Linked DNA regions of Kluyveromyces lactis. The protein of the gene in region 1 interacts with the protein of each later gene in a pairwise test. Links are inferred from orthologs where the notes say so. Each region holds a gene or a part of one and is shown on either strand. Other genes may lie near its edges.

Region 1 (3,840 bases):
GTTCAACCACGCAAAGTAACTCAAGGATTTACAAGACCTCAAGTGGAAGAGTTGCAAGGAATTCTAAAGCTAGCAGCTCAAAAGGATCGGGTTCCTCTGGAAGTTCAAACTTGTCGAAATCTAATGGACAATCTAATGATATCGGAATCAACAAGCCTCTAAAACCCAGGATTCCCTCTCAGAGGACCACTATGCATGAAATGAGAAGAAGAGTTAACGCTATTCTGGAATTTATCTCAAGGACACAGTTAGAAATATCTAATGACCAACGTCAACGGGATCAGTTGTGCCAGTTTGTGGAAAACGAAGAATTCCTGGAAAATATTAATAAAATATTCTCCAGTTACGACGAATCCTTCAAAACGATGGATGAGCTAACGAGGAAATTACTGCTTTGGGAGCAAAAGTTTAGTCCAGCTTCTTAAAAGCATGATAGAGAGTGTTCTTTTCTTGTTTCATACATTTCCTTACCTAATTCTACATCTGAAGTACATACGTAAGTTCATAATAAGTCAACTGGTTTATCATTAACGGCGCAAACATCTGTTAAAAATTGCTCTGTAGAAATAATCGAGGTTCCTCCAATGATAACTCTGCAATTGTCCTTATTTTTACTCTGTTTCTCATTGAATTGATGTACTGCGCGCGCTTCTTCTATAGTGAGGCCTCCGACGATCAATATAACAACATCTTGTGGCATATATGTCTTAGGGTCAATATTTTGGTTTAAAAGAGTCACTCCCTCTTGTGGGAACTTGTTTTTATCCAAATCGCTGAGAAGTGTTGTCAATTCAGGAACATGTTGCATAAACACATTTTCAGCGCTGGTGCTGCCTAATCTGTTGAATTTCTTGGTTAATCCACTAATCAAATCATTGTCCTGAGGAGCTTTGTGTTTATTGAATATTGACCCAAATCTCTGTTTAAATTGAAAGTAAAGAGAAATTTGTGTGGGATCACACTGTTGTCTTAGAATATTCTCCAACTCAGAAACTCTAGATTCGTTCTTGCCGTGTCGTAGAACAAAAATGCAGCATAATTTTAATTTGTAATATGATTCTAAGGTTGGTAAGTTTAGAATTCTCTTCAGTTCTACAAAGTCATCGTTATTGTCATCATGTGAAGAGAGGTTTTGCTCTAGCTCACTGACTTCCCATATATTCTTCAGTTGTAATTGCCTATCTAATTCACTAACAATGGCCATATGTTTTGAAATGTTGCCTGAGAGTTTCTTAAATTCGGGGAACTTTTCGATGAACTCTTTAATATCTTCTATCGTATTGATTTGTTTGGTAATGTTGGTCTTATTTTTATACTGAGTAACATAGTTCTTCACCTTATCTGCCAAATCACCAAAATTCATATACATTGTTTCTTTGAAGAACTTATCTTGTTTTGAAGAGAGTACAACCTGCTTCAAATCGGGATCGATATTTGGTACATTCGAAAGGTCTACCAAGTTTCTTTTTATTCCGATATATTCATTTATCATCGATTGATAGGTCCACGGTTGAAGTAATGGTGTCAATGGATCCGATTTCCTGTCAAGTAAAATTAGTAACGGATTCGAATCTCTGACGGGAAAATCAAATAACTGCCTTTCATTTGTCTTAATTTCATACTCTAAATCCTTAGCTAACTTTTGACACAATTTGCTATCCGAGTCATACGCAATTGTCGGATTTAGTTTTAACGATAGTAGCAATGAGATTAACCCGTTAGACGTCTCCTGCAATCCCTTTGGATCCCATACCAATTGATTTTGGAGAAGATTGTACAACGGGATCTCTAAAGTGAAGACATCCTCGTTCACAATTAGGTAGTCTTGGAAAACTTCTTCTACATGTGTGACAACCTCCATATCATCTCTTTCGGCTAACCGTTCCAACTGGGACTTACTCACCTGGTTATTGAAGAAAATCTGGTATTCGCCATACTTGGGATCCTGTAATTCGTGTAATAGGTCTTGAATCGTATCCTCAGTGGGTTTCAAATAGCATAAACATTTCAAATGTGGCATTGGATCTCTGTGAATATTCTCAAGTTTATCGACCAAGTAAATCTCGTGCTTTAATAGCTCGGTTTGAGTAGTACACATCGATATCGTAGAGAGTGTGTCATTATCCAAAATCAATGCCTTTACTCTCGACTTCTCCTGTATCGAGGTGTCCGACGGTTTGGACTGGAAATTTGCGATTCTGCTGATATAATAATCACCAACCGTAAACAAATTCATTACGAAAAAGTGCTCTATCCTCTCAATTTCAAAAGAACTTGGATATCTTAATTGCTGATTCACCGTTGGCACGCGCTACAGCAGCCTTAATCTACCGTTTCTCACTGCTACTTTGTTCCATGCAAAAGTTTAAGGTCATTTCTCCTTTAATACTTATTTTCAAAAAGAGTTGAAACTAAGATTCTGGCACACATCAATCCATCTTTGTTTAACTACAAACAAACACAGGAACAACAATCTTGCTATAGCCTGTGATTCCAAACTTTACATTTAGGTGGGAAATAGCAATTTTTCCACAATTCTGTACAGTCAAGGTAATAATTCTTAAGTTGAGGCTACTGGCTATTCTTTACAACAATGGCCACAATTTCCCGTGTGAAGCCTGTGAAGACTAATTCAGATACCAGTCTATCACAGTATATGAAGCAGAAGAAAGGACATGGAAAACCTAAACAGTTCTCTGCAAAATCTAGGAGCAAGAGCAACACCAGTTTCAAGAACTTACAGAAATTACACAAGGTAGGAAGCCACGATGCATTGAATAGAGGACTTTTCGATCCTATGAAGAAATCGAAGAGTTCGGACTCATTGAACAGACGCACGGTACACAGTGGTCTCAGTATGACGGCATTGGTAAGAACATCATCTCATCCAGTTGTGCTACACCAGAATAGTCACAGCATGAAGCATAAGGGCCTAATTAGTGATAGGAACTCCAAGTCCGTCATCCTAGATCTTCACGATTCTGGGGATAACGATTCTATGACTGATGAAGAGGTAGAGTCTTTCACCGATATAGAAGGAGATGATGCATCAGATGATGAGACAATAAATGGAACGGGCAAAAATTCAACAACTCAGAGGAACTCGATGCATAGCATCAATGATTTTCAGGACAGAGCTGGGTTAAGAGTGGATTCTGGTAGACCTCTACAAAGGCCATTGAGCTATAAACCACCGTCACGGCTTAGAAACAGAGTTGATGCAGATGATGATCATATTTCATCAAGAGCTGTGAGCCCAATGGATAATGACAAAATTGACGCTCCTGACAGGGAAGATGACCTTATTGACCCTGGCAATCAGGACACTATATCGAACACGAATAGTCTAAGACGCCACAGGCAACATATGTTTGATTTCAATAATGGAAACGGTAATCTGCAGAAATCTTATAATGTGGAAACTACGGAGCATGAGGATATTATAGCAGCGAACACTGCCGTCGATGAAGGAGTGCGTCGTTATACTGAAGAAGATATTATTGACGGAATTACACATACAGCAACAAACGAAAAAGCAAATGAGGATATTGGTAGTGATGATCCTAAGCGATATTCATTCGCAAAAGCTGGCGCTGTAACTGATGAACAGTTTCCTGAGGATCCCCATAGTAATGACAGTTCCTCCTCCAGTAAGAATGGCAATATGATTCCTGATAGCAACAACACTGCTCTGAATGGTTCTAATATCGACTCTGAAACACAAGGAACGGAACAATACGTTCCTGATATGATTCTATCTCAGTCTACCGGAATGGAAAGAAGATTTGATCAATTATCTCGTCAGAGTTCGTTAGCATGGCTCGACCCAGCCGAAAATAA
Region 2 (3,383 bases), on another chromosome or scaffold:
CTTCAACTTCTTAATGAAACCCGTATTCCTCTTAATACTAGAATCAAGTTTCTTGGCTTTATCAGGGAATACGTCAATCCCGGTCCACGCCATACTGTTAATTTCATTCAAGCTTGATCTCCATTCATTCTAAACACAAATTCAATCCATAAAAGCAAGGCTTTCTGTTAGTATTCTCGAAAACTCTCGACCACTTAAAAGCGTACACATACGTTCATTATGTTATTTGACGATTGGATAGGTTCAAAGTCGGTGCGTAAAGTTCTTGCTGTCGCTGTGACGTGATTTCAACAGAACTTTTGTTCGATGACTTTGGTAGAATTAACATTTCACAGGATTTTTTTTTTATTCAAAGGGCTTTCTCATACTGGCATCTCGACAATAAGTTACAGAGCGAAACGGATAGAGTTTTGGTTGCATTTATATTATCGTGCTTGTGATAGAAGAGTGTTTATATGGTTCAATAGAATATACACCTAATTGAGTGTTAAATAATAATTTTAAAAGCCTTCATCACCTAGCTTACTTTCTAAATGCACTATGTTCTGATCAATTTCTGAAAGATTAGTTTTCAAGGATATCGCTTCCTCGAAGCGCCTTTCCTTGGCAGCTGAATTAAGCATATTTTCGACTAAGTATCGTTGTTCATTCAAAACCATAAGTTCTTCTCTGTACTTCTTTACTTCCGCAATTGTTAAATTATTGAACAAAAGATCCGATGATGTTGTGACTTCTACTTTCTGTGACACAGGGTTCAAGATTTCTGGTATTTTTTTCAAGGGTAGCATTTTCTCCTCGATGAACGCTGATGCATGTAGGGCAATTGACTGTTGTATTTTCTTCTCTGCTGTTGATTTTGTATCCAACTGAACAATGCTTTTTGATAATTTGTCATAAAGCGTTAAATTTTGTAATAGCTTTCTTCTTAATTGTGCTAGGTTTTGAATCGCAGTCTCATCTGAAGCGGGTGCATTATGTATCGAATCTAATGCTTTCTGGAATCTGGGGAGTAAATTTACTACAAGCGTTTCGAGGTTGTGGAGATTTTCGTACTGTTGTAAAATTTCCGGTAGTTTCAATGCCTTACTAAATTGGAGCTTACGCTTTGCAAAGACATACCTCAGACAGGAGGAACAAATTCTAACTCCTGTAGAAAGGTCTGATATTGCTTTTAAGTTCCCGACATTCTCGAAGGAAAGGTCTGGGGCCGCACTCATCAGGTTCAGGACTGGAATATCGCTGGAACATCGAGTTTCTTGTCTATCGCACACGATCTGACCGCATAATCTACAATGATGTTTCCGCATCAAGAGTCCAAACGGCTGAGAGCATATGCCGCATTGGGTTGCCATTTGATCATCCTTCCACTCTACGATTGATCGTTCCAAAGCTATAATTCCTGCTCTGATCCTGAACGTTGCAAAGACCGATGACTGATGTCGTACATGTAATTGAATTATCCCATTTATTAGTCTCAATAGCCTGTTTTCTAGCTGCAAAGTGATAAGTTCTCCATCCTCGTTCTTCAACTTTCTTATCTTAGCGAAAGCTTGTGTTATATTTCTAGTCAGTCCGTAGTCATTGTAACCTTTCCTATTGATATAACACTTGTGACAACATTTACACCATACATTGCTCGCCGGATCGTATTCACCGTTTTCATTCAACTTGATGGCATTTCTACAATGCCTTAAACAGAAAAGTTCGCCGCATTTGCGGCAATTGATCATACCGTTTCTGGCGTTTAACTTACAACCGCACTCAAAACATACCGATTTGCCTTCTACTGGTTTCTTCCAGTGAGATGTATTCATCTTTAATTTCCCCTTACTCTGTCTTTCATGAGTCCTTTCTTGAACCAATGTGTTCAAACCAATGACACTTGACTCTCTTGAGCTATCGACATCGGACGCACTTTCATCGTTAAAACCGTGTACATTGTCCAAGTGGACGTTGAGCTTTCTCAAACTCTTCAACTCATTTCCGCAAACTGGGCAAGTTACGGCCTCGACATTTCTATCATGTTGTCCAGTCGAACTCGCCGAGCCCAACCACCTTCCATTTCCTTCTGTCATTGGGCTTTATAAATAGATATACTACCTCACCATCATAAATCCCATGGAAAGGAACTAGCTTGAATAATCCAACTGTGAGACTTAGTTCCTTCCTCCCCTTAGGAATAAAAGCTTCGAATCGTTAACTTTCGTTTCATGCTTTTCAAATGCAATTAAAGAGAACATTAAGCTTGACGATCTAACAAAACCTTTGCGTAATGGTATGAGACACGTTACATTAGTCTATACAACACTTATTACTACTCCGAACGGATCAACGTGTTTAAGCCAATTGATCCTTGATGATATGTTCATTCTGCTGTTTTGTCTATTAACGTTTTGGTTGGTTTTCGATAGATCATATCATGTACTATGGTTTAAAATCCAGAAGTTATTTGATATTCTACCATCTTCTACATTAACGAACAATGAGTCAGATCCTGCTACTGTGATATCTTTGCCAGATTCAAACAGTAGCTTCTTTCACAAGTTCTATTCCGAGTATTCGTTGTCTTCTAGAAAGGTTTACAATGCAGTACGAGTCATATTTTGTGCTACATTTTCTGCTTACGTTGTAGCAGTTGAAATTGTATTATGGCAGATAAAAGTAGCAGACCCCAATGCCGAGGCTAACTTGGTGACGTCAATTATATGGCCAGGCTTGTTAGCTTTATTGTTCATCTCATTGATTTTGATACAACCTTTCCTGATACTGGTGTTCTTGTTGACGAAATTCTTCGAAGACAAGGTCAGCATGCACAAATTAGTGCCGGTAACCATTGGCATTACTATTCTATGGCTAACTTTCTTGCATTTCCTTACCATTGGACCGTTTGGCTACACATATAATCTATTGACTAAGGCATCAGTGATCGGTGTGACTGTAATGGGAATTTTGTCCGGATTGGCATCAGTCTCCACACCGTATTATGCCTATCAATATTTTAGACATCGGAACAAAAGAGATACAAAATACACTATACATAACAATGTTGATCTGTTGTGGTCTAGTGAGTCTGTGATACGGGATCGAATCAGGAATTATGAAGAATGTATTGAGAAAGATACCTCGTTGTTGTGTAGGCTCACTTCTTCCTCAAACCAAGCTGACATCATGACCACAGTACAACTGAGAGAACGAATTGCATGGTATCAACTTGAACTGGTGAAATTAAGCGGTATCTTGCAGGGTCCAAAAGAGCTTAGGAGTTTAAAGCGGATGTTTCAGGTGATTTTTTTGGTTTACTGTGTTTATAAATTGACTGACGTGTGGCTTGTAAAAGTGCCTAAAATTATAGTACACTCATTTAAGTTTCCAACAGATTTTAG

Evidence for each region. The genes of interacting proteins can lie anywhere in the genome.
Region 2: the proteins of VPS45 (region 1) and PEP7 interact in binary tests that used the Saccharomyces cerevisiae proteins (3 or more experiments, as listed by UniProt). The link is inferred for Kluyveromyces lactis from reciprocal best matches to the Saccharomyces cerevisiae genes VPS45 and PEP7.

Annotation. Positions count from the first base shown.
Region 1 is NC_006041.1:1,671,839-1,675,678, forward strand, and holds VPS45 (Vps45p), read right to left. Parts: upstream 2,237-3,840; coding exon 503-2,236; downstream 1-502. Other genes in the region: CTI6 (Cti6p), read left to right, coding at 1-425; TCO89 (Tco89p), read left to right, coding at 2,594-3,840. UniProt on the Saccharomyces cerevisiae protein: Essential for vacuolar protein sorting. Function in membrane traffic between the Golgi and the vacuole.
Region 2 is NC_006040.1:1,128,055-1,131,437, forward strand, and holds PEP7 (phosphatidylinositol-3-phosphate binding protein), read right to left. Parts: upstream 2,076-3,383; coding exon 501-2,075; downstream 1-500. Other genes in the region: NMD2 (Nmd2p), read right to left, coding at 1-129, 213-218; KLLA0_D13200g (uncharacterized protein), read left to right, coding at 2,278-3,383. UniProt on the Saccharomyces cerevisiae protein: Required for vacuole segregation and vacuole protein sorting. Possibly part of a complex which tethers the vacuole membrane to microtubules, either directly or via kinesin or dynein-like motor proteins.